Regions from separate parts of the Mus musculus genome. Here regions 1, 3 and 4 are each reported to be linked to region 2. The links are microRNA targets in miRTarBase. Many come from high-throughput screens and were not tested one by one. Region 2 holds a microRNA gene; each other region holds the end of a gene's coding sequence.
What was found. Region 2 holds the annotated microRNA mmu-miR-466b-3p (AUACAUACACGCACACAUAAGA, at 5,151-5,172, opposite strand). A microRNA usually pairs through its seed, bases 2 to 8, with sites in the 3' UTR of a target mRNA and lowers its output. Matches are read on the target gene's strand: a 7mer-m8 pairs with bases 2 to 8, a 7mer-A1 pairs with bases 2 to 7 and ends in A, and an 8mer does both.

Region 1: miRTarBase lists Fam169b as a target of mmu-miR-466b-3p. Seed matches in the 3' UTR shown: 7mer-m8 at 3,159-3,165.
Region 3: miRTarBase lists Pgm2l1 as a target of mmu-miR-466b-3p. Seed matches in the 3' UTR shown: 7mer-m8 at 2,524-2,530.
Region 4: the mRNA of Fbxl14 is a reported target of mmu-miR-466b-3p. Seed matches in the 3' UTR shown: 7mer-m8 at 1,427-1,433.

Annotation. Positions count from the first base shown.
Region 1 is chr7:68,359,002-68,367,268 of GRCm38, forward strand. Fam169b (family with sequence similarity 169, member B) reads left to right here. Exons shown (of 9, transcript NM_001374636.1): 9 at 2,241-4,080. The coding sequence ends at 2,321. Among named protein-coding and RNA genes, the nearest start is that of Gm16158, 9.9 kb to the left of the region's middle.
Region 2 is chr2:10,483,382-10,491,648 of GRCm38, reverse strand. It overlaps Mir466b-4 (microRNA 466b-4), which reads right to left and starts at 5,226; the gene lies at 5,137-5,226. The region is part of intron 10 of Sfmbt2 (Scm-like with four mbt domains 2); the gene reads right to left. It overlaps Mir467a-4 (microRNA 467a-4), which reads right to left and starts at 5,514; the gene lies at 5,432-5,514. It overlaps Mir669a-7 (microRNA 669a-7), which reads right to left and starts at 4,996; the gene lies at 4,910-4,996. It also overlaps Mir467a-5, Mir466b-5, Mir669p-1, Mir467a-3, Mir466c-2 and Mir669a-6, and 3 more genes.
Region 3 is chr7:100,268,171-100,275,733 of GRCm38, reverse strand. Pgm2l1 (phosphoglucomutase 2-like 1) reads right to left here. Exons shown (of 14, transcript NM_027629.3): 12 at 7,428-7,563; 13 at 5,273-5,406; 14 at 1-3,407. The coding sequence ends at 3,305. Among named protein-coding and RNA genes, the nearest start is that of P4ha3, 14 kb to the left of the region's middle.
Region 4 is chr6:119,480,302-119,484,301 of GRCm38, forward strand. Fbxl14 (F-box and leucine-rich repeat protein 14) reads left to right here. Exons shown (of 1, transcript NM_133940.3): 1 at 1-3,585. The coding sequence ends at 761. The region is part of intron 1 of Wnt5b (wingless-type MMTV integration site family, member 5B); the gene reads right to left. Among named protein-coding and RNA genes, the nearest start is that of Fbxl14, 2.6 kb to the left of the region's middle.

The DNA of each region.
Region 1 (8,267 bases), not on the chromosome of region 2:
AGCTGTACATGGGTAAAAAGAAAAAAGTTGGCCCTTTCAGAGGAAGCAGCTGGAGTCTGGAGTATTTGAAGGGGTGTGTATGTGTGTGTGTGTGTGTGTGTGTGTGTGTGTGTGTGTGTGTATTGTGCATATGTGTGTATGTGTGTGTGTGGTATATGTGTATGTATGTATGTGTGTATGTATGTGTGTGTATATGTGTGTGTATGAATGTGTGTATGTATGTGTGTGTGTGTGGTGTGTGTATGAATGTGTGTGTGTGAATGTGTATGTGTGTATATATGTGTGTATGTGTGTATATGTGTGTGTGTATGAATGTGAGTGTGAATGTGTATATATGTGTGTGTATGAATGTGTGTATGTGTATGAATGTGTGTGTATGTGTGTGTATATATAAGTGTGTGTGTATGTGTGTATGTATGTGTGTGTATATATGTGTGTGAGTGTGAATGTGTGTATGAATGTGTGTGACTGTGAATGTGTGTGTGTGTGTGTATGTGTATGTGTGTGTGCATGTATGGCTGCACACTCAAAGGCAGAATGCCAACTTAAAAAAATACATTGGCATATATCAACCATATTCACTGAGTTCTATTATGACACTTCCTACTTGTGTATAATGTATTTTCACCACAGTCATTGCCCTGTTACCCTCTAATTCCCCCCTCCCCCTCCCATTGACCCTCTCTCTTCTCCTTACCTCTTCCTGCTATACCACTGAAGAAAACATCTTACCTCTTTCTTCAATCAGTATCTGTCTATAAGTCCTCAGGGAGGGATATAGTATATATTAAATATATTTTTATATATAAATAAATATATTTTTTAAGTTCCCTTTTCTCAAGACAGGGTCTCTCTGTATAGACCAGCTTGGCCTTGAATTCACAGAGATCCACCCGTCTCTGCCTCCTTGGAGCTGGGATTAGAGGTGTGCACTGCCATGTTTGGCTACTCGATGGTACTCTAACAGGCACATCATGTCCATTTCATAAAGCAACAGTAGTTGCTTCCCTACAGGGGGCCTGCGACCCACCCTGGCCACTGGCTTTCGAGCAGGCTTACACTGCAAGGTGTGGATTTCTCTCTGTAGGGCCAGCCTCACGTGCAGCCATAAGTTTGGCTGTAGCAAACTTGGGACAATTCTATCAGTGGCTCTGTCCTGCCTTACCTGTGAGTGACAATGGGTGCCGAGGACAGTCCATGACAGCCTGTGCCGCTTGTGCTTTCTCGCAGCATGGGGGCTGACCAGCAAGGGAAGAAGCCCCCAGTTGCAGCTTGATCCCCCTTTGTCTTTTAGCCAGCAGTAGGACCTTGTCTTGTAGTTCTGGTGGGCAACTGGTCACAGTGCGGTGGCCTGTTCTGGAGCCTCTGGTGCGTCCCTGTCCTGTATCTCACAGGGAAGTAGCCCAACACTGTCATTTGGGTTCTCATTTAGTAACCTGTAGCTTCTGCGAGGAGCTTCACTCTAGCACACGGGATACGCTTTTAAAGCGAGGCTCGGGATGTCTGCAGCTCAGTTGGTACACGGCTTCCTCACACGCATGAAGCTTTGTAGAATCTGGCTGTACTTGTGTACCCCCTGTGAGTCCATCCCAAAAGAGGCAGAGGCAGGAAAATCAGAGCATTTTTAGCTTCGTGGAGAATTCAAGGACAGTCTGGAACACAGGAGACCCCATAACAAATAAACAAACAGACAAACACAACAATGTCTAGTTGTGTCTTGGTGTCTATGGGAGTTGGTTTCTGGACCTTCCTTGGATGCCCAAGCCCCCTGTGTGAAATGGTGTCCCTGTTTCACTCACCCTCCCACACACGTGACATCATCTCTGGATGAGTTGGGCACCCAGTGCAGTGAACACCACAGAAATGGTTGTTTGGTACTGTAGGGACAATGACCTGGGAAGGGTGGGCATGCCCAGTACAGCCTGAGCTGTTTGGGGTGTTCTGACTTGTGTTAGCTGAGTGTGTCCATCATCTACTGGTGCTGGGTGCGTGGCTCTCCTGCTCTGCTCTGACCTTACTTAAATCTTGTACAGGCTGGCCTTCGGGTCCATCCAGCAAATATGTGCACCGGTGACAAATATGTTCCCCTGTGCATCACTAGCTGGTTTGTTCAAACGTGACTTATCGCCTTTAATCTCAGCATGAAGGGTGGGGCTAGCCAAGCCAGCTCACCCCGGGTCCTATGTCTAGACCTGCACTGTCCGTCAGGACCTCATCACAGTGTTACCTTCTGATTTCAGGAGTGGGCTGTTGGAGAACCGGAGAGGACACAGAATGGCCGACGCTGTGCGCAAGTGTGTGAGGAAGCGCGTCAGGTGTGAACTCGGCACCTAACTCCTCAGAGGGCCGTCTGGCTTCTCCAGGATCTGAGCCTGAGGGTTTTTATACGGCCCTGAATAGTCTCTGGTCCTGAGGATGGCGATCGTTATCTCTGGCTCCCCTGGTAGGCTCCGGAACAACAGGGTCTGAAGAAGTGCTTGGGTGAGCCAGATACTCAATGGGAGCCACTTTTGCAGGCCAACTGTTGGCAGATGCAGGACTTTAGAACGTCATTCATTAAAATGACCATTGCTTCCACTCCCCAGGAGAATAGGAGGGAGATGCGTGGGACCCTGTGAATGAATGAACACACTTCCCCTTAGTGGAAATGGGCTCAGAGATGGACCATGGTTCCCATCCATGATGTACATTCAGCCTTGTTGTAACCTCAGAGCTCCACAGTGGAGTTTTCAGGGAGACAAGTTCCATCTCTGGGGACTTGTCAGTCACTTCTGAGCTCCTTGAGGACACACACCAGGGCTGGATAATGTCAACCATGCCAGGGCCTGATGGTGGCCACTGTGGGCCTTGGACTGCATTAGGCTCAGTGTACTGCCCATGTTGCCTTCAGTGCCATCGGGTCCAGATGTCTGCATTCGGGGGAGGATTTCTACCTGAGAAAGTGGGCCCGACACTTTATGTTCCCTGAATGCTCAGCAACATATGCTGTGGGGTCTTATATTTGTCAAAGCGTGCAGCTCTTTGCTCATTTCTACATACATGCACACATGCATGTGTGCACACATACTTCTCTCATTTTCTCTCTCTCCTCTTTCCTTCACCTCTTCTCTTCCTCTCTCCCCTTTCCTCTACCCATTTATCTGTATATATATGTGTGTGTATGTACACACACACACACACACACACACACGTTGTGATTGTTTGTATATGCTAGGCCCAGGAAATGGCACTTTTAGAAGGTGTGGCCCTGTTGGAGTAGGTGTGTCACTGTGGGTGTCTGGCTTTAAGACCCTCATCCTAGCTGCCTGGAAGCGAGTATTCTGGTAGCAGCCTTCAGATGAAGATGTAGAACTCTCAGCTCTGCCTGCGCCATGCCTGCCTGGATGCTGCCATGCTCCCACCTTGATGATAATGGACTGAACCTCTGAACCTGTAAGCCAGCCCCAATTAAAAAAATTTTTTTAAATAAGACTTGCCTTAGTCATGGTGTCTGCTCACAGCAGGAAAACCCTAACTAAGACACACACACATATATCATACATATACATATCTACACAACCACACACACATGTACACTCACACATACATTCTATTTCCTTTGATTCACTGCTGTATCCCCTACCAGCCTGTCCTCTCTTGTTCCTTCCTTTCTCCACCCATCCAGCATGCTTTCTGCGGGACAAACTCTGTGTCGTGCTTGGGACATTAAACTGAGGCTTGGTTTCAGCCTCAGGGAGCTGCTCTCTCTGGGTGGGCTGCCCTGAGTGTCTCCTGCAGTTTCTCTTCGTCTCACACACATTGCAAAGAGGGAGGGGCCCGACTGTGAAGAAGCAGAACTTGCAGCTCCATACAGGGACATCACGAGGACCCCGTTTGCATATGGGGGTCTGTGAAGGAAGCCCGGACCACAGACATGGACTGAACATCTGAGGGGTGCTTTGTGTGGGACCCCACACATTCTTTAACATGTAGTTCATGTGTTGTGAGGATTTCTTGTTTTCTGTTTATATGAAAATTAACTCATAAGTATCTCTGTGATTTAGTAACATTATTGCTCAATAAAGACCTTCCACATGTTAATAGCTTAATTTTAGGACTTTCAAGGTGCCCACGGTGTTGGGAGAGGCTCTCTGGATCAGAGCAGTGCCCACCCTGGTATTGGCACAGCAGATGCCAGCACTAGGCTGGTGCAGGGTGCCTTCTGGGGAGGACACTGTGGGACTTCTTGATTGTCAGTGTGCAGTGAGCCTGTTTATGCAAGATCATTAATTCTGTTTTTACTCAGGATTTTTAATGGACTTGCCTCCCTCACCCACTTTGAAACAGGGTCTTGCTGTGTAACCCAGGCTACACAAACACACCAGCTTTCTGTCTCAGGCCCCAGAGTGCTGGGATGACAGAGTTTTAAACAGCTGCTGCGAATACAGTTTACTGAATGTAAAAGTGATTTTCAGGGCTTCTGCAGCCACCGCCCCAATCTGTGCCCAAAAGAAGTGTCGTGTCCATCGACCCCCTTTCCCTTCACTGCTCATGATCCCTAGGTCACTGCTCACAGACACGCCTGCTCTGAGCATGTCACATAACTGCAGTCATACCTTAGAAGTTATTGGCAGCTGGCTTTCTTCAAGTAGGATGACAATGTTCAGAGGTCTTAACTGTGTTCCAGCATATGTCAGCACTCCGTTCCTTTTCAGGGCTGAGTAATATTCCACTGCATGGATCCATGGTGCCACATTTGTTCATCCAGTCCTCAGCTGATAGGCTTTTAGATTGAGTTCTAGCTTTGCCTGAGACAATAATATTGAGATCATTGCTTTAATTTCCATTTCTTCAATTGTCAAGGAAAGTGGAAACTTTTTAAAATATTTATTGACCCTCTATGTTTTTCTTTCTTCCTCTCTTCTTTTCTTCCTTCCTTTTCCTTCCTTCCTTCCTTCCTTCCTTCCTTCCTTCCTTCCTTCCTTCCTTCCTTCCTTCCTTCCTTCCTTCCTTCCTTCCTTCCTTCCTCCCCCCCCCCCTCTCGTTCCCTGACCAGTTTATCCAATGACTATTTTTGGTGTTTAAGTTTTGCAGGTTGTTTTTTTTTTTTTTTTTTTTTTTTTTTGTATATTGTATATACTAAACCCCTGTGTTATGGTTGATTTTAATGCCACAAAGTAGAATCACCTGACTAGGGAGCCTCTTTTGAATGAAGTGTCCGTCCTGCTTGATGTGGCAAGACCTACCCTGCCTGTGAGCAGCACCTTCTGGTAGAGCCTGGATAAAAGGGTTTGCAGAAGGAAGCTCACCTGCATCTGCACACTTGGCCTCCCCCTGATGGCTGAGTGGATTTGCCCATTGCTGCTGCTGCTAATTCTATCACAGACAGCAGAACCATTGTCTCCAGGCCTTCCCTGTGGGCTAAGGACCAGTGTCTCCCCAGGAACCTTACAGGTTTCCAGCAACAGGTTGGCCCTGCTGAAGTACCCAGTCGTGTGCACGGAGAAGCTACCGATTCCCTGTCCTGCTTCAGTGAGAGAGACTGCGGGACTCCTACTGCTGAGGTACCGGCCTCTAGGACTGAGTAACTACCAGACTCTCAGCTTTTAGGTGTGATCCTGCTGTTACTACCTAAAGCTGACCTACTTCTCTCTCTCTCTGTCTCTCTGTCTGTCTCTCTCTAATCTATTATCTATCTATCATCTATTGATTAATAAATGATAGATTAATAGATCTATTAATAGATCTATCATGTCATATCAATCATCATCCATCTATCTACATCTATGCATTATCTATCATCTATCTTATCTATCTATCTATCATCTATCTATCTATCTATCTACCTATCTATCATCCATTCTCTGTCTGTCTGTCTGTCTGTCTGTCTGTCTGTCAGTCTGTCTCTGTATGTGTGTGTATGGTCATGGTTCCTCCTTCCAGCAATAGAACAATAGGACAGAAGTTGACGGCAGGCATCTGTGGCATCGCTGTGATAGGCCTGACATTCTGTTTGTTGGAAGAATATGGGAGACTTTGGGAATTTGAAGTAGAAAAGTGAATGCTTTAGTGCTTTGCATGAATTAGCTTGAATGCTGCGGGAAGTGTGGCTGATGGAGCATCCTAGTAGGATCATGGAGGGCAGGAGTACGAGGTCGGTGTGGACCCTGCAGGTGCACCTCAAGACGTTTCTGAGGGCAAGAAGTAATAGCAAGTGGCCTACAGAACATTCTTATAATGGGTTGGCAAAGAATGTATGTGTCTGATTTCTGGCTTTGTTTTAAAAAAATCTACCCGAGCACTATTGGAGAATTTTAAATTAGTGTCCTTGGCAGAGGAGATTTCGAGACAGCCTAGGATTGACTGTATCACGTGGTTACTAGTGGGCACTCTCCTGCAGATCTCCGTGGAAAAGGAGGAGCACGGCAAAGAGAAATAAAAATGAACATCAGGAAATGGAGCCAAACTCTGTGCTCGAGGGGATAGTTTTATAAAAGGCTTGGTTTAAAATGGAATAAAGGAATTGGTAACCTCAGGGCAAGACCCACCCAGCTAATCCTGCAAAGGAAAAGACTTGGGGGATTTTTTTTAAGGCTTAAATAACAAAGGAAAGCGTCCAGCACCAGCAAGCAGCAGAATTTAGCAGCTTCAGCTATAAAACTTTATGAAGTTCTGGCTTTATCAAGGAATATATGGGAAAGGGGCTCTGGAACCTTCCTCTGTGGCTAAATAGAAAGCCAAGGAGGCACAGGAGTCCCTGCATGAAGGCCCAGAGAAGCCATTACACGAAGCTGTGAAAACGAAGCTTGGATTTTATTGGAAACTTCAAAATGTTGGAGATGCCAAAGCGGTGGGATACCTGCCAGGAAGAGCTGATAGCAGGGAGTGGAACCAGTCCAAGGGAAAGAAGTGTGCGGCAGTCAACGGAGCTGGAAGGAGTTGGAGACCTGAAGAGCACTTTGACATCAGACATGGGGCTGCAGAATTTGGCGTCTGCCCAGCTGGCTTTCAGTCTTGCTTTGGTCCAGCATCTCCTCCGCAGGGCTCCTCCTCCTCCCTGTTGGAATGGTAAGGTAGAATCTGTGCCACTGTATGCTGGAAGTACGCGATTTGCTTTTTGTTTTTTATAGGAGGTTACAGTTAAAAGATCGCAAGAATCCCAAGAGACTTTGGACTTTAAAACAGCGTTGAAGTGAAAAGACTATATGGGGATCTTTGAACTTGGACTAAATGCATTCTGCATTATTATATAAGCCACTGAGGGCCAGGGAACAGAATGTGGTGGTTTGAGTGAGAATGGTCCTCATAGGCTCGGTGGTTTGAATGCTTGGTCCCCAGTTAGTGGAATTGTTCGGGAAGGATTATGAAGTGTGGCCTTGGTGGAGAAGGTGTGTCACTGGGGGTGGGCTTCGAGGTTTCAAAAACCCATGCCAGGCCCAGTGTCTCTCTCTGCCTGCTGCCTGCTGCCTGCTGATTATGATGTAGCTCTCAGCTTCTTCTCCAGCACCATCCCTGCTTGCTCCCCTGCTCCCCGATGATTATGGACTGACCCTCTGAGGCTGTAAGCAAGCCCCCAAATTAAATGCTTTCTCTTAGTGCCTTTTCACAACAATACAACAGCAACTAAGACAGTGTATGTGTTTTTAGGTGTACACACACACACACACACACACACACACACACACACGGCATCCCATTGGCTCTGTTCTTTTTGAGAATACAGATTTATATACCCTGTCCATAGGAGGCAATCTGAACATTTGAATTTGCAGTTCTCTTTGTAGAGAGTTACTCACTTGCAGCTAGAAGGTGCTCCTTCCCCCAAAACCCTGGGGCAGGGGATGGAACCCAGGGCCTCCCAATGTCTAGCCAGGGTGTCTTCTACCCTGCCCTGAAGATGTAGTTTTAAATTAGGCCCTTGAGTTTTCATCTTGAGAAGCTGTGTGTATTAGTCAGAGTTCTCTATAGACAAACAGAGAATGAATCTATATACAGCAAGGAGATTTATTATACTGACTTACGGGCTATGGTCCTGTTACTGCTAACAATGGCTGCCTAGGGATGCAAGGTCCATGAATCTCATAGTTATTCAGCCCACAAGGCCGGGTGTCTCAGCAGGTCTTCAGTATACAATGGGATCCTGAAGACATAGATCTTAATGCCACATTGAACTTGCCAGAGAGCGAGCGTGAGGGCCAGCAGGCAGAGAGCAAGCTCCCTTCTTCCATGTCTTTGTATAGGCTGACAGCAGAGGGTGTGGCCCAGATTAGATGTGCGTCTTCCCACCT
Region 2 (8,267 bases):
CTTGCGTTTATACGTGTGTGTGTATGTTATGTATATTCAAATATAGACATGAACATGCACACACAACTATACACACATGCACATACATGGAGGAATCACAGGCTGATCTCTCATGAGGATAAGTGTAAATTTGAACTCCTGATACTCTTAACTCTAGCAAGCATTTTCACTCTAAGTCACTTATCATTCAAATGGATTGACGAGTGCCATTCCCCTGTGTCTGTGTGCTCATATGTGTCTTATGTGTGCGTGTATGTATATGTATATCATATTCACATATGTACATGCACACACACATCAACACATATACACATACGTAGGGGCAATCACATGAATGCCAGGATGACCTCTAACTCATCATGCCTTTACTATGAACTTGCACTCCTGATCTTCCCGACTCTACCAAGGGTTTTCCCGTGGTTTGTGAGACCTCACCCTGGCCCAGTCATACATAACCTCCAAAGCAGTAGGTCACATATCATTCAAATGGATCCGTGAAGGCCATTTCCGCATGTCTGTGTGCATGTGTGTGTAGGTGTGTGTATGTATATGCATAAAATATACACGCATATACATGCAGGCACTTACGCACACGGGCACATACATAGGGGCCATCACATTATTCCAGGATGATCTCTAACTGCTCATGAAGTTAAGCATGAAATTGAACTCCTGATCCTCCTGACACTGCCAATTATTTACACCTGGTGAGTGAGACCTTCACTGTCCCTCTACTTTATAATCAGCAAAATTCTAAGACATATATCATTCAAATGGATCAATGAGTGTCATTCTTATGTGTGTGAGTGTGCACGCCTGTGTGTGTGAATACATTTGTATGTGTGTGTATTTATATGTATGATCATATACACACATGTACGTGCACACACAATTATATGCACTTGTGCATACCTAGGATCCATCACACAAATACAGGGTGATCTCTAACTCATTATGAAGTTAAGCATGAATTTGAACTCCTGAGACTCCTAACTCTGGCAAGTGGTTTTCATCTGATAAGTGAGATTATTCCCTATACCATGAATATACACTCAATGAAATTATAAGCACGTATAAATCAAATGGATGACTGCCATGTGTGTATGTGTGCACATGTATGTGTCCCTAGTTGTGTGGGTGTGTATATATATATATATATATATATATATATATATATATATATATGCATGTTCATATACGCGCATGTACAGGCATACTTCCCTATACACATAAACACAAACACAGGGAAAATCACATGAATTCCCGGCTGATCTCTAACTCATCATAAAGTTAAACATGAATTTGAACTACTCATCCTCATGATGCTGGCAAGAGTATTCACCTCCTAACTGATTAATAGCTCGGGCCATTCATGGGAGTATGTTTGCGTGTGAGTATATGCATATTCATATACAGAAGTGATTATGTACACAACTATACACACATGCACATTCTTGGTGGGCATCACATGAATCGCATGCTGAACTCTAACTCATCATGAAGTTAAACATGAATTTGAACTCCTCATCCTCCTGACACTGGCAAGAGTACTCACCTCCTGAGACATAGCTCTGGCCATTCCTATGAATGTGTGTGCATGTGTGTATATGCATATTCATATAGAGAAGTGAATATGCAGACAACTATACACACATGCACATTTTTGGTGGGCATAAGATGAATCCCATGCTGATCATGAACTCATCATGAAATTCAGCACAAATTTGAACTCCTGATCCACCTGACTCTGTCAAGGGACTTCACCTGCTGAGTGAGACCTCTCCCCATTCAGTACTGAGGAATCTTAAAACTCTAAGTCACACGTCATTCAAATGGATCGATGAGTTGCACTGATGTTTGTGTGTGTGTTTCTGTTTGTGTCTGTGTACATGTATATATTTGTGTAGATAGGAACATACATATACTCAAATCCACACAAAATATAAACAGATACAGATAGGGATACATAGGGGGCATCACATGAATCCCAGGCATATCTCTAAGTCATCATGAAGTAAAGCATGAATTAGAACTCCTGATCCACAATCTTTCACACCTGGTGAGTAAAACCGTTCACTGTCCCAGTACTGCATAATCTTTAAAACTTTAAGTCGCATATCATTCAAACGTATAAATGAATGCAATTTTTTTCTCTGTGTCTGTGCTTTCATATACACGTTTGTTTATGTTTTGTATATCATGTCAACAGATGCAATGCATATACAAGTAAACACATATGCACATACATGGATGGCCTCACATGAATACCAGGATGATCTCTAACTGAATTAAGCATGAAGTTGAAATCCTTATCCTCCTGACTTTGTCAATCTTTTACACCTGGTGGGTGAGACCATTCAATGTCCCCTATTGCATAATCTCTAAAACTCTACATCACTTATCATTCAAAGGGATTGGCGAATGCCATTCCTGTGTCTGTGTATGTGTGCTTGCGTTTATACGTGTGTGTGTGTATGTTATGTATATTCAAATATAGACATGAACATGCACACACAACTATACACACATGCACATACATGGAGGAATCACAGGCTGATCTCTCATGAGGATAAGTATGAATTTGAACTCCTGATACTCTTAACTCTAGCAAGCATTTTCACTCTAAGTCACTTATCACTCAAATGGATTGATGAGTGCCATTCCCATGTGTCTGTGTGCTCATATGTGTCTTATGTGTGCGTGTATGTATATGTATATCATATTCACACATGTACATGTACACACACATCAACACATACACATATTCATAGGGGCAATCACATGAATGCCAGGATGACCTCTAACTCATCATGCCTTTACCATGAACTTGCACTCCTGATCTTCCCGACTCTACCAAGGGTTTCCCGTGGTTTGTGAGACCTCACCCTGGCCAGTCATACATAACCTCCAAAGCAGTAGGTCACATATCATTCAAATGGATCCGTGAGGGCCATTCCCGCATGTCTGTGTGCATGTGTGTGTAGGTGTGTGTATGTATATGCATAAAATATACACGCATATACATGCAGGCACTTACGCACACAGGCACATACATAGGGGCCATCACATTATTCCAGGATGATCTCTAACTGCTCATGAAGTTAAGCATGAAATTGAACTCCTGATCCTCCTGACACTGTCAATTGTTTACACCTGGTGAGTGAGACCTTCACTGTCCTACTTTATAATCAGCAAAATTCTAAGACATATATCATTCAAATGGATCAATGAGTGTCATTCTTATTTGTGTGAGTGTGCATGCCTGTGTGTGTGACTACATTTGTATGTGTGTGTATTTATATGTATGATCATATAAACACATGTACGTGCACACAAAATTATATGCACTTGTGCATACCTAGGGTCCATCACACAAAAACAGGGTGATCTCTCACTCATTATGAAGTTAAGCATGAATTTGAACTCCTGAGACTCCTAACTCTGGCAAGTGGTTTTCATCTGATAAGAGAGATTTTTCCCTATACCATGAATATACACTCAATGAAACTCTAAGCACGTATAAATCAAAAGGATGACTGCCATGTGTGTTTGTGTGCACATGTATGTTTCCCTAGTTGTGTGTGTGTGTGTGTGTGTGTGTATATATATATATATATATATATATACATATATATATATATATATATGCATGTTCATATACGCGCATGTACACGCACACTTCACCTATACACATAAACACAAACACAGGGAAAATCACATGAATTCCGGGCTGATCTCTAACTCATCATAAAGTTAAACATGAATTTGAATTGCTCATCCTCATGATGCTGGCAAGAGTATTCACCTCCTAACTAAGTCATAGCTCGGGCCATTCGTGGGAGTATGTTTGCATGTGAGTATATGCATATTCATGTACAGAAGTGAATATGTACTCAACTATACACACATGCACATTCTTGGTGGGCATCACATGAATCGCATGCTGAACTCTAACTCATCATGAAGTTAAACATAAATTTGAATTCCTCATCCTGACACTGACAAGAGTGCTCACCTCCTAACTGAGACATAGCTCTGGCCATTCCTATGAATGTGTGTGCATGTGTGTATATGCATATTCATATAGAGAAGTGAATATGCACACAACTATACACACATGCACATTTTTGGTGGGCATAAGATGAATCCCATGCTGATCATGAACTCATCACAAAATTCAGCACGAATTTGAACTCCTGATCCACCTGACTCTGTCAAGGGATTTCTCCTGCTGAGTGAGACCTCTCCCCATTCAGTAATGAGGAATCTTAAAACTCTAAGTCACATATCATTCAAATGGATCGATGAGTTGCATTCATGTTTGTGTGTGTGTTACTGTTTGTGTCTGTGTACATGTATATATTTGTGTAGATAGGTACATCCATATACTCAAATCCACACACAATAGAAACAGATACAGATAGGGATACATAGGGGGCATCACATGAATCCCAGGCATATCTCTAAGTCATCATGAAGTAAAGCATGAATTAGAACTCCTGATCCACAATCTTTCACACCTGGTGAGTAAAACCATTCACTGTCCCACTACTGCATAATCTTGAAAACTTTAAGTCACGTATCATTCAAACGTATAAATGAATGCAATTTTTTCCTGTGTGTGTGTGCTTGCATATACACGTGTGTTTATGTTATGTATATCATGTCAACACATACAATGCACATACAAGTAAGCACACATGCACATACATGGGTTGCATGACATTAATACCAAGATGTCTCCAAATGAAGTTAAGCATGAATTTGCAATCCTTATCCTCCTGACTTTGTCAATCGTTTACACCTGGTGAGTGAGGACATTCAATGCCCCCTATTGCATAATCTCTAAAACTCTACATCACTTATCATTCAAAGGGATTGGCGAATGCCATTCCTGTGTCTGTGTATGTGTGCTTGCGTTTATACGTGTGTGTGTATGTTATGTATATTCAAATATAGACATGAACATGCACACACAACTATACACACATGCACATACATGGAGGAATCACAGGCTGATCTCTCATGAGGATAAGTATGAATTTGAACTCCTGATACTCTTAACTCTAGCAAGCATTTTCACTCTAAGTCACTTATCACTCAAATGGATTGATGAGTGCCATTCCCATGTGTCTGTGTGCTCATATGTGTCTTATGTGTGCGTGTATGTATATGTATATCATATTCACACATGTACATGTACACACACATCAACACATACACACATACATAGGGGCAATCACATGAATGCCAGGATGACCTCTAACTCATCATGCCTTTACCATGAACTTGCACTCCTGATCTTCTCGAATCTACCAAGGGTTTTCCTGTGGTTTGTGAGACCTCACCCTGGCCCAGTCATACATAACCTCCAAAGCAGTAGGTCACATTTCATTCAAATGGATCCGTGAGGGCCATTCCCGCATGTCTGTGTGCATGTGTGTGTAGGTGTGTGTATGTATATGCATAAAATATACACGCATATACATGCAGGCACTTACGCACACAGGCACATACATAGGGGCCATCACATTATTCCAGGATGATCTCTAACTGCTCATGAAGTTAAGCATGAAATTGAACTCCTGATCCTCCTGACACTGACAATTGTTTACACCTGGTGAGTGAGAATATTCACTGTCCCTCTACTTTATAATCAGCAAAATTCTAAGACATAAATCATTCAAATGGATCAATGAGTGTCATTCTTATGTGTGTGAGTGTGCATGCCTGTGTGTGTGAATACATTTGTATGTGTGTGTATTTATATGTATGATCATATACACACATGTACGTGCACACACAATTATATGCACTTGTGCATACCTAGGATCCATCACACAAATACAGGGTGATCTCTAACTCATTATGAAGTTAGCATGAATTTGAACTCCTGAGACTTTTAACTCTGGCAAGTGGTTTTCATCTGATAAGTGACATTATTCCCTATACCATGAATATACACTCAATGAAACTCTAAGCACGTATAAATCAAATGGATGACTGCCATGTGTGTTTGTGTGCACATGAATGTGTCCCTAGTTGTGTGGGTGTATATATATATATATATATATATATATATATATATATATATATATATATGCATGTTCATATACGCGCATGTACAGGCATACTTCCCTATACACATAAACACAAACACAGGGAAAATCACATGAATTCCGGGCTGATCTCTAACTCATCATAAAGTTAAACATGAATTTGAACTGCTCATCCTCATGATGCTGGCAAGAGTATTCACCTCCTAACTGAGTCATAGCACGGGCCATTCGTGGGAGTATGTTTGCATGTGAGTATATGCATATTCATATACAGAAGTGAATATGTACACAACTATACACACATGCACATTCTTGGTGGGCATCACATGAATCGCATGCTGAACTCTAACTCATCATGAAGTTAAACATGAATTTGAACTCCTCATCCTCCTGACACTGGCAAGAGTGCTCACCTCCTAACTGAGACATAGCTCTGGCCATTCCTATGAATGTGTGTGCATGTGTGTATATGCATATTCATATAGAGAAGTGAATATGCACACAACTATACACACATGTACATTTTGGTGGGCATAATATGAATCCCATGCTGATCATGAACTCATCATGAAATTCAGCACGAACTTGAACTCCTGATCCACCTGACTCTGTCAAGGGATTTCACCTACTGAGTGAGACCTCTCCCCATTCAGTACTGAAAAATCTTAAAACTCTAAGTCACATGTCATTCAAATGGATCGATGAGTTGCACTGATGTTTTTGTGTGTGTTTCTGTTTGTGTCTGTGTACATGTACATATTTGTGTAGATAGGTACATCCATATACTCAAATCCACACACAATAGAAACAGATACAGATAGGGATACATAGGGGACATCACATGAATCCCAGGCATATCTCTAAGTCATCATGAAGTAAAGCATGAATTAGAACTCCTGATCCACAATCTTTCACACCTGATGAGTAAAACCTTTCACTGTCCCACTACTTCATAATCTTGAAAACTTTGAGTCACATGTCATTCAAACGTATAAATGAATGCAATTTTTTCCTGTGTGTGTGTGCTTGCATAAACACGTGTGTTTATGTTATGTATATCATGTCAACACATACAATGCACATACAAGTAAGCACACATGCACATACATGGGTTGCATGACATTAATACCAAGATGATCTCCAAATGAAGTTAAGCTTGAATTTGCAATCCTTATCCTCCTGACTTTGTCAATCTTTTACACCTGGTGAGTGAGTCCATTCAATGTCCCCTATTGCATAATCTCTAAAACTCTACATCACTTATCATTCAAAGGGATTGGCGAATGCCATTCCTGTGTCTGTGTATGTGTGCTTGCGTTTATACGTGTGTGTGTATGTTATGTATATTCAAATATAGACATGAACATGCACACACAACTATACACACATGCACATACATGGAGGAATCACAGGCTGATCTCTCATGAGGATAAGTGTAAATTTGAACTCCTGATACTCTTAACTCTAGCAAGCATTTTCACTCTAAGTCACTTATCATTCAAATGGATTGACGAGTGCCATTCCCCTGTGTCTGTGTGCTCATATGTGTCTTATGTGTGCGTGTATGTATATGTATATCATATTCACATATGTACATGCACACACACATCAACACATATACACATACGTAGGGGCAATCACATGAATGCCAGGATGACCTCTAACTCATCATGCCTTTACTATGAACTTGCACTCCTGATCTTCCCGACTCTACCAAGGGTTTTCCCGTGGTTTGTGAGACCTCACCCTGGCCCAGTCATACATAACCTCCAAAGCAGTAGGTCACATATCATTCAAATGGATCCGTGAAGGCCATTTCCGCATGTCTGTGTGCATGTGTGTGTAGGTGTGTGTATGTATATGCATAAAATATACACGCATATACATGCAGGCACTTACGCACACGGGCACATACATAGGGGCCATCACATTATTCCAGGATGATCTCTAACTGCTCATGAAGTTAAGCATGAAATTGAACTCCTGATCCTCCTGACACTGCCAATTATTTACACCTGGTGAGTGAGACCTTCACTGTCCCTCTACTTTATAATCAGCAAAATTCTAAGACATATATCATTCAAATGGATCAATGAGTGTCATTCTTATGTGTGTGAGTGTGCACGCCTGTGTGTGTGAATACATTTGTATGTGTGTGTATTTATATGTATGATCATATACACACATGTACGTGCACACACAATTATA
Region 3 (7,563 bases), not on the chromosome of region 2:
ACATGTGTATAGAATGTATTATGATCACAGTAACCCCATCATCCTTCTCTTAGCCCTCTCCTACCCATTTGTCTCACTTTTCAACTAGTTCCCTTCTAGGTCTTCTTTTTGTGTTTTTAGAATCGGCCATTTTTAGTTTTTTTTTTTTTTTTTTTTTTTGCAACCTTATTCCCTGTGGTGTCTTCACTAGAGATAATCAGGGTGCCACTACTGCTTCTTACTTTGATACCTTTAGCAAAAATCCCAATGAGTAATTTATGGTTTAGTAAATGAACTCAATAGCTTTTTGTTTCAGAGTCCAACAATCCTAATTCCTTGAACTTTTTCTTAGAGGTTATACTTTCCAATCTTGGTTTTGTTTCTTTTAATTTTGTTCTTTATCTTCTCTCATTCTCACGTGATTCTGAAACAACACCCCACTAGGAATTGAGCCCACAGTTCAATTGAACCTCACCTCCTAGAAGTGGGCTTCTTTTCAGTGACCACCACTAAAGGAAAACAATACAGGCTTGCTGTCTGAGCATCCTAACAAACACAAGTAAACAGCCTTGCATACAGTTTACCCACCATTACGGTGCATGTTTGCACGTCTCCAGCATTTTTATACCATCATTACTGGCCTTTATATATTGTTTGTTGGTTATTACCACTTTATGATTTGACTTCGCTTCATCAATAATAACTTTCTCTCTTTTTGTATTGCCAGGGATCAAATGTAAGCTTTGCTTCATCTGCATGCTAGGTACGTGCTTTACCACTGAGCTATGTTCCAGCCTAATTCTTTTCCTCAGAACTCCAGAAATTACTTATTTTGATTTATTTGCTCAAAGAGAATATATTCCCATGCTATTGCTGAAAAGAGGGATGAGATAAACAATGCAGTTATCATTCCAAGGTCGAGACCCACAGGCTGGCATGCCTATCTTGAGCTGTTATTAAATTTAGCCTGTTAGGCACCTGTGCACCCACTGTGTCATGTTCATGTTAAACATGCTCAGACAGACTCAAGAATGTAGACAAGAATCAAACGGTCTCCTCAACTTACACACTCTGGGAACCTTTATACACAGCTGGGATGTAGCCTTTCAAGATAAGGGCTCAAATGTCAGTAACGTCACGTGACGATGACTTATTTCTTGTATGTTTAGCACTGAAGCAAAGATATTCTCTTCACAAGTGAATAGCAATCATGGCGTGGCTTTCTTGTTATAAACAGGCTGTCACATTGCTTTAGTTTTCATTTTGTCCTTGGGCCACTGAGACACAGACACTAAAACTGAATGGGCATGTTTTTTTATACCACGTCGTAGAATACATGTTATTTCCTAAATTACAATTTACACTCCTAAAAGCCAACAAAATGTTTTAAAAATAAAACAAAAAATTCTACATGCTACTTTTTTTTTAGCACAAAGCCTCTAAAATAAACTCATACAGGAAAATGGCACTGAACATTAACTAGCTATCATCTATATAATGTAGGACCCAGTTCTAAGACAGTAAGGAAGGAACACAGAGCAGTAGTGGCAACATAATGTAAAACCTATCTTTGGATTATATAAGCTCAACCAAAATTATCCTCAAGCTGCAACAAAACACACCATGGTTTAATTAATATTCCAATCAGTATAGGCTTTATATTATTTATTTTTAGGAAACTAATCATCTAACATCAGTATTGTCTCCTATAGGCAACTTTTCTTAAATGATTATACCTGAAGGCCTTGCTACTGTTATCATAACTGTAGTGTGTGTATTCTGTAAACTATTTGGGGAAATATATAATTTGGAAAGCTTAGACAGTATTTTTCCATTAGGCTTTTCAGAAGGCTACAGAGTCAACCACAAATGACTTTCCTGAAAACTGTTTCGCATTGAAAAAGATGAAACGTATTTATATGATCAGAAATTCCAAAGCCTGATGGAGCATACTAAAATAAATTGACCTTAGTTCTAACTTCAGTTTCAGTGTTTCATAATACCTAAAATTTCCCATTCAAGCACCGTGCTTAGCCTTGTTTAGCTTCTGAGATAATGAGAATGAGATTGGGTATTGAATCAAGGTAGTGTGGCTGTAGAAAATACTTATATCTTGATGTTTCATTTTTTATTAAAATTAGCATTACCTTATCAGATAAATAAATCTGGCTATAAAAATGTAATTAAAAAAGACTGCCAAATAAATGCCATGCTGATGCCATAGGACAGAGTTTTTCACTTATAGGTTATGATAACTGAATCCTAGCAGGAAGACTCAGCTACAGTTACATTAAGCCAAAATTTATTAAGACCTTTTTCTACAACCATCTTTAGAGTGAACAAATCTGTTTCCTATAGAGGAAGCACCTATATAGTTTGGAAGATTTTCCTTAACTATCTGAAAATGGACTGTGTTATATTCAACACAGGAACATCATTTCAGTTCCCACTAGACCCTGAGAATGCACTGAGGAATTTGACAAGAATAAAGCCATGAGGAGTGCTGCCACTACTGTTTTATGTTCAGTAAACATCCGTCTTAAATACATACAGTAAATATACACCACACCAAGGGCACCCGAAACACTGGTGCCAAACCACAGACGGTAACATCTGTCCTAAATCAGAAAACCTAAATAACCTATAAACATTTTTTCCTTCCTTCCTTCCTTCCTTCCTTCCTTCCTTCCTTCCTTCCTTCCTTCCTTCCTTCCTCCCTCCCTCCCTCCCTCCCTCCCTCCCTCCCTCCCTTCCTAGACAAAGAATTACTGTGCAGCCCAGGCTAGCCATAAACTAACTAATGATCCTCCTACTAATGATCCTCCTGCCTCAGCCTCCTAAGGGCTGTGACGGCAGGAATATGCCACCAAGCTGGGTTTCTAATTTGAAAAACAGGCAGGAACAGTACTCCCAGCCACAAACACACAAACACCTTTAAGAAGTAATTTCCTTAACTAACCCTATAGTTATATAATGTTTGACTTCTTTTAAACCATGCTATACACAATTACAAGATACGTAACTAAGCTTAAGCACAGTTCAATATGAAAACTCACTTTTGTACTGTTTGTGATACAGGAAGAACAGCGTGCCACTGGAACACTTTCATTGTAATGACTGTCACTTAAGATTATGAAAATATTTGACTCATATCCAAATATTTTCATTTCAAATGTATATAATCTATTTAGCCAGCTGAACACAGGAAAGAAAAGGGAAAAGATAACTTGGCAGATGAGAGAATTCTAACACAAGGTTCACTGAGTGGAGTTCTTGAAGGTTTCGTTCCATATGTCAGTGCAGAGTCATAACGTACTGATGTGCCCTACACAGAGCGCCAGACCAGTGCGTTCTTACTGGGCTCAAGAAAATTCTCTATCAGCGCGTCAATGAGTTTCTTTAATTCTTCTTCCAGGAAGGTAGTGTCACTGAGGAAAAAAAGACAAAAACAGTTAAAATTCTTATTTTTATAGCCTTAACATTTATTTAAATCATTTCCACTTTTAAGGAAGGCACATATCTGACAGGACAACTAAATAATCGGCAAACAAAAGAGAAATTCACCCAGTTGAAATAAAACAAAGAAGACTCTTTAAAAATTCATACACAAAACAACAGTCACAAGCTAACACTGGACTGCATTACTCGGATGTCTTCCGGCCATGATAGAGTGTGAGTTCACAGTGGCCAATGAATTTTCCTAGGTTAATCAATTTAATAGCTCAGAATGCCAATAGCACGTATTATTAAAAATGGCTTTCTGAGATACTGAAGGACATTCAGTACAGAAGACATTGAACAATACAAATATCTTTCAGGTATCAGAAAGCAGTCCTGGCACTCACTGGGGAGGCAGAGGCAGGTGATCTCTGTGATTGTGAGGACAGCCAGGGCTCTATAGTGAGAGCTTGTCTTAAAAAAAGAAGAAAACGAATAAGGTATTTATTTTAAAAAATCACTCTACACTTACAGGCATTCCCTGTGAATCATCACTGAAGCACTGCTGCAGGCCACACATTCCTGTAGAAGCCTCTGTACCCACCTTCACGGCCATTTACAAGCCAGAAAACAAACCCATTTCTATTACTTTAATAATTCCTCATTTTGACCTAAAATTATTTGGATAACTATAAACTCTGCTCTGAACATGAGAGGTCCTTTTCATCTCCTGGAGAAATACATGGGCACAGGGAGATACAAACTAACACACCCTAGTTGTGTCCTCAAGACAATTAAAAGATAAATCGTCCCCAAAATTCACTGGTCAGTGAAGGACATAATCAAAAGGACATAATCAAAATCAATTAAATAACTTTTGGAATGTTCATTAAAAAGATCAACAATTTGTGACAAACCGAACCCATGTTTTTAGAAAATGAACTGGCAGATTAAGCAAAACCATGGCAGATACAAAAAACAAGATTTAACATATCATTTCTTTATACTAAAACTCAGAATTCCCAAAAAAGAAATTCACTACAATTTTGATATTCAATTCCCAGCGATATAGCTTCTTTGGGGGAAAGAGTCTGGCAGTTTCTCAAAAGGTAAAACATATTTACCTTAGGGCCCAGAAATCCTACTTCTACATATATTTCCAAGAAAAATGGAGGTATACACCACACAAACTCAGTCACAATTGCTCATAATTGCACCATTCTAATAGTTTAAGAAGTAATCACCTGCATGTCCACTAATGAGGGGAATAGTTGGGGACAAAGGATGATTTTAGCCACTAAAGACCACATAATGTCTTCTTTCATTTATAAATAAAATGTCCTGTTACGGGGTAAATCTGAAAAGTCCCTTACAGACTCAGGTGATATAGATGCGATCTTGAGATATCGGTGCTATCTGGGGTAGAATGTACCTGACGGAAATAGGCCCCTGGGCTATGCTTTTGAAAGTTTTACCCGATCTCTTCTTCCTCCACATGTGACACTATGTTCATTCTTGTCTTGAGTCCAGACAACTGTGAATCAAAACCTCAAAAAGCATGACCCCAAATAAACCCTCCCTACCTCTTTCAGAGTGTTGAAAACATGAAGAAAAACCAGCATAAGCAGAACTTAGAAAAGGACAGTGGACCAGTGCCTGCTTAGGGCTGGAAAGAACCTCTAAAGGAACTCTTTTTAGAGTTATAAAAATGTTCTAAAGTTGATTGTAGTGATGGTTACACAGCTAGAGATATTAAAAACCACTGAATTTTACACTGATATGTGTGAACTGTACGGTATGTAAGTTATATCTCAATAAAGCTTCTACATATATATTCAAAAGAATCAACTCTCACCTCTGGCCAGGCGATGCACACATCTCTGCATAATACTTTATCTTCGGTTCTGTCCCACTTGTTCGGAGAGTAGCGACACAGCCGTTTTGGAAGGTAAATGTAATCATTTGGCTGTTTTTACTCACAGGCAGTACCTATTCAAAATGCAATAGTTTACACCTATATCTTCATTTTCAAGAACTATAAAATATACCACAGTTGCAGGAAGTAGCTAAGGTATCTAAGTCACAGAAGCAATGTGGACTGGTCATTGCCAAGAGTTGGGAGATGGGTGTGTAAAGTTGTTTAATGAGTACAGAATTTCAATTTATCAAGGTTAAAGAAATCTGTTATATAATAATATAAGCATACTACATGTTTTGAAATTTAAATGAAAAAAGAGGACATAAAGTCTTGAGGGAGATGGGTTGGTGGATCCCAGAGAGAGTTGGGATGAGGAACCGGGGGTGGATAAGATCAAAATATGTCGTATACATGTATGGAATTTTCAAAGAATACCAAAATTATTTAAAATGGGTAAGATGCAAACATGGATTAAATACATTATTAGAGTACTGAAACAACATTTGAACATTACAAATGGAACTTAAGCTAACAGTTATCATCATAATTACAATAAAATGAATGTAAGAGCTTATCATGTAAGTGTCTGTTGAGCATATACCACAGAGGTGGGAGCATTGAGAGGTACTGAGGAAATGGACCTGCCACGTGCAATGCAACAGTGACATAAGTAGACGTCAACAAAACACTAATATACAACCCAAAGGTTACACAATCACTCATTCTGTAAAAACTGATTATGGGACCTGGAATTCCAAAGGAGGATGTAACATTTGCCTTAAGTTTTAAGCCTCAAGCATTCTAGGTAAGTGCCCTGTCACCATCAGCTCTTGCCTTAATTAAACCTTAAGTAATGGTGAGGTATGAGCCTACAGCAGAAAGGAGAAAAGGTAAACTGAGGCAAACAAGTTGACCCAAAATACAGAAAAACCTAATGCATATGTGTTTAAGAAATCTTCAGTTCGCTGGGCGTGGTGGCGCACACTTTTAATCCCAGCACTTGGGAGGCAGAGGCAGGCGGATTTCTGAGTTCGAGGCCAGCCTGGTCTACAGAGTGAGCTCCAGGACAGCCAGGGCTACACAGAGAAACCCTGTCTCGAAAAAACAAAAAAACAAACAAACAAACAAACAAACAAAAAAAGAAAAGAAAAGAAAAGAAAAGAAAAGAAAAGAAAGAAAGAAAGAAAGAAGGAAAGAAAGAAAGAATCAGTTTTATTGGACTAGAGGTATGGAGAGCCAGGTTGGAAGCATGTTAAAATCAGGAAGCTGCAGCAGGGCTCTGAAGTCTTTAGACTTCATGTTCCCGTATCATTCACCCTCACTGCGCACTCCCTCCCTCCCTCCCTCCCTCCCTCGCTTCCTCTTCTCCGTTGGTCCCTCTTCTCCAAGCCCACTTCCCTTTGCGCCAGCAGCACGGATGATTATTAGGGGAGTAATAAGTATCAAGTCAGAGACCAGTTAGTGCCCTTGAAAATAGTCTGGTGGCACAAAACAACAGGTCCTCCCCTCAAGAAACTAGAGGCCACTCTTTTACTATACCATGAATTATGACACTTTTTTTATGACAAGTTTTTTGTTGGTGGTGGTGGTTTTGTTTGCTCAGTTGTTTCTTTAAAGAGGTGTTTTCTGGGGTTTCAACTTCTAGCTGAACACACAGAATGCTGGGAAGGAAGGTGGTACACCTGGACAGTGCTGAGAATAGCTGCTCTCAATCTGTGGGTTTCCAACCCTTTGGAGTTCACATATCAAATATTTACATTGTGATTCATAAGAGCAGCAAAATTATAGTTACAAAGTAGCAACAAGATAATTTTACGGTTGGGGGTCACCACAACACGAGGCCGTATTAAAAGGTGGCAGCATTAGGAAGGCTGAGGACTACTGGCTTGGGGGGTTTTGCCCAGGCCTCCACTTGTAGAACCTTGCCTGCATGTCTCTTCCATCTGGCTGCTTCTAAACTTAACCACTGTAAACAAGTAAACATGAGCACACTGGCTTGGATCTTAGGTGAAACTTATTGCAGCTTTAGATTTTTTTGGTGACTTGAGTTATTAAATTGTCTTCATTGTTTGTAAAAAGAAAAGGTACTTACTGATTTCTTATTTGGCTGGCTGCTATCATATCCAGTGGTTATGTCCCGTACATGCAAAATAGCAAAAGCCCCACAAAATTTTGGATATTCCTTTGGAGACTCAAAATTTCGAATCCTTTCAAATATGGTTTTGATG
Region 4 (4,000 bases), not on the chromosome of region 2:
TGGAGCTGGGGGGCTGCAGCAACATCACCAACACCGGCCTTCTGCTCATTGCCTGGGGGCTGCAGCGCCTCAAGAGCCTTAATCTCCGCAGCTGTCGCCACCTCTCGGATGTGGGCATCGGGCACCTGGCCGGCATGACGCGCAGCGCTGCCGAGGGCTGCCTGGGCCTGGAGCAGCTCACTCTTCAGGACTGCCAGAAACTCACGGATCTTTCCCTGAAGCACATCTCGCGAGGGCTGACGGGCCTCCGGCTCCTCAACCTCAGCTTCTGCGGCGGCATCTCGGACGCGGGCCTTCTGCACCTGTCGCACATGGGCAGCCTGCGCAGCCTGAACCTGCGCTCCTGCGACAACATCAGCGACACCGGCATCATGCATCTGGCCATGGGCAGCCTGCGCCTTTCCGGTCTGGATGTGTCGTTCTGTGACAAGGTGGGAGATCAGAGTCTGGCGTACATAGCCCAGGGACTGGACGGCCTCAAGTCCCTCTCCCTTTGCTCTTGCCATATCAGTGACGATGGCATCAACCGCATGGTGCGGCAGATGCACGGGCTGCGCACGCTCAACATTGGACAGTGTGTGCGCATCACGGACAAGGGCCTGGAGCTGATCGCTGAGCACCTGAGCCAGCTCACGGGCATAGATCTGTACGGCTGCACCAGGATCACCAAGCGCGGCCTGGAGCGCATCACGCAGCTGCCCTGCCTCAAGGTACTTAACCTGGGACTTTGGCAGATGACGGACAGTGAGAAGGTCAGGTGAGGGCGGCAGTTCCAGTTCCCCCGCCCCGCCCTGTTCATCCCAGGACCACCACTGTTCCGCACACTCACGCGCGCACTTACACGTTCAGGGCAGTGGCCGCGGTGGGGCGATGACGGAAGCCTGGGCTCTCTTCTCCTAGTCTGGCGCCCCTCTCCACTGCGTCTGGAGTTGTTCTGCTCCCTCTACCCACTCTCCTTTCCCAGTGAGGGGAGAGATGGACCCTGCTGTTTCTCTGCCCACTCTTCTGCAGGGTATGGAGACTTTCAGCCACCGACAACTGTATCCTGGGGCACTGCATTTGGAAATGGGGTGGGGGCGGGGAGGGACTAGTCGTTTCAACCCCGAGGAGTTGAGGAAAGATGCCTGCCTTCACTTACACTTTCATTTGGATACTGTGATCTGGCTTTTAATTCCAAACGTGTAGAAAGCAAGCCCGACTTGAACAGCCTTCTCATCCACTTTGTAGCCAGTCTCCTCTCATCGCTGCCCCTTTGGTATCTGCAACTCACTTCGGTTCTGGTTTTGTTCTTGTTCTGTTTTTTTGTTTTGTTTTTTATCTGCTTCCTTTTTAGTTTTCAAAGAAATTTGAAATCATTGTTCTTTTTTCTTTCTGCTGAGTATATTCTCATATATATATATATATATATATGTGTGTGTGTGTGTGTGTATGTATATATATATATGTCTGGCTACCTCGTTTTAGTTTACTTTTTTCTCTTAAGCCCTGGAATTCTACAAGAGAGATATTTTGAGATTGAAACATTTTTGTGCCTAGACTGGAAAGATGCCCACTGGGTTTGTATCTGTTTTTGGTTTTGGCTTCTTCCCAACCTCCCTGTACCCAATGTGCCCCACTTCCGCATCCTGGCTACGACCCCACCCCCCACCCCACCCCCAGTCTATTGGGCTTTGATGACCCAACCATGTTTCTATATTGATTTAATTTATAGCACAAATGTATGGGAGAAATGAGAGCAGAATTTCCTTTTTGTTTGTTTGTTTGAGATGCAGATTTGAGTCTTGAAGAGGAGTATTATATATGCAAATTATGCCCCACCCCAACCCTCTTGCAAGTCTTCCCACCGAGAGGTTAGCTAGTGAGGCTGTTAGCTAGTGAGGCTTCCCGTCCTGTCGGGGAGTGAGCCGTGTCAGCAGAGAGCCTGAGGCTATGTGAATGAAGGGAGGAGGCTGAACTTCATGTCCTGTCTGAGTTCTGTTCTCGAAACGGGAGCTTGTGGGTTTGAAAACTTTTGTTTCTAAATGGAGGAATAGATGACTTTATTTTGGTGGGGGGTTGGGACTGTGGCTTTAAAACAAATCGCTTTTGAGTAGGATGTATATTTTTGTTGGATATTTTGTTTGTTTATTTTTTTAGAGTCCTCCACAGCAACATGAGAGACCATGGAGAAACCCAGAGACCTTTATCAATTAATTGTACTGTTTGTGAATTTGTATAAATAACAAAGATCCTCTTAAAACGTTTATATTCTTACAGCAAAAGGTTAAACTGATATTTATATAATAAAAGAGGAAATATGAAGTATGTTTTTGAAAAAAAAAGCACAAAATCCCCCCCTTGTATCTGTGAATTATTTTTAAGGCATTGTGTGTCGGGTACATGCTCAGGTGGGAGGTGTTAGGAGTGCACAGAAACTGGAACTAAGGTGGAGTTCAGCTGGCTCATGTGCTGTAAGTTTATGGTTGAGAATTTCTTTTGTGTAAGATTTACCACTGACATCCAAATGTTCTGTCTCTAGAAATGTGATCAGACTGGAGAGTTCTATAAATTTTGGTTTTAAACTGTCAACATGGAAACTGAAAGAAAATGAAACTTTTTTTTTTTTTTAAGAGACCAGACTTGGAAGAGTCAGAGTGGCCAGTTTCTTTTTGGGAATGGTGGTGGTAGAGGTGAGATCCAGGGTAACTGTGAAGAAGCCGGTCCTGAGCTCTGGAAATGCGAGAGTAGGAGGGGTGTCCTCACATTGGGTGCACAGTGAGGGACACGCAGTAAGACGCAGAGGGAGCCAGCCATTGTTCCGGGGAAGTTGAAAGTGCTGTCCTAGCTGGCTGGCCCAGTCCTGCGTGCTCCTGTGTGTGTGCAGGTCCAGCGGAAGGGGGCAGCAGTGCTCTTTAACATCCCCCTTCAGGCCTGCCTGCATGCAGACCCTTTGCTGGGGCTTAGACTGGTCAAAGTTAAGGCACACTTTCGTTTGGAGCCCTTCTAGTGCCCAGGCTGGCCACTGAGCCATTGGTAAGGGTACAGGCTGGATTAAGGGCGGATAGATGGATACCAGCAATGTTAGCATAGTTCTCCTACATAGACAAGCAGCACTGTGACTTCTGTAAGCCGAGGGACAGAGGCGGGAGTGAGCGAGTCGCAGCCCTGGGTTCACGTTGGTGGGCTTTGTTTCTGAGGTCACTTTCTCCACTAGAAACCCAGGTTTCCTAGGTCAACCCATCTTTCCTAGGTCAACCCATCTTTCCCGGCAGACAGCTGGAACCCAGGTTGTTGCAGGGTGTGACGGTCCTGTACACTTTCTAAGCTTTAAGCCTGAACAACAGAAAAGCTGTGCCGTTCCTTTCTCAAGTCACCAAAACCTGCTCTGAGTCCCACACTAGATCTATCTTCCCTTTCTTTAGGGACAATACAGATTTCTATTCCCTAAAGACAAAGCATGCAACAACAAAAAGTAGGAATCCTGGAGAGCAGTCTGAATCAGGCCTGCTTCCTAGGAATCTCACCCAGCTCCCAGGGTCCCGCTGTGGTCCGGTCTGTAAGTCACGCCGCGATACCAGTCTCCATCGGATAAGCAAATAATCCCACGATCAGTACTCTGCAACAGTTTCTGTTTGTTTGAGTTTTAATTGTTAAGTGTAAGGTTAAGGGGCTGGAGAGACGGCTCGGTGGTGGGAGTGCATGCTGCCCTTGCAGGAGGCTGACGTGGAGCTCCCAGCGCCCCCAGTCTCAGGTAACCCCATCTCCAGGGGCCTCTGTGGGCACCTGCACTCAGGTGCACAGGCACACATGTAAGTCTCACATAATAAAAGTAAGTCTTTAAAGGGTCATAAATTAGTATTTGCAAGTTAAGATCATGGCATGGGTCTTAGTGTCCATGGCCTAGTTTCTTTCTGAATGGGGCGGGGGGGGGGGGGGGAGGAATACACGTTGGGAACCCATGTGGGCTTTGCATGGTACTTTACGTTTTTAACCCTTCAAGCGATCTACTGAAACATCTCCC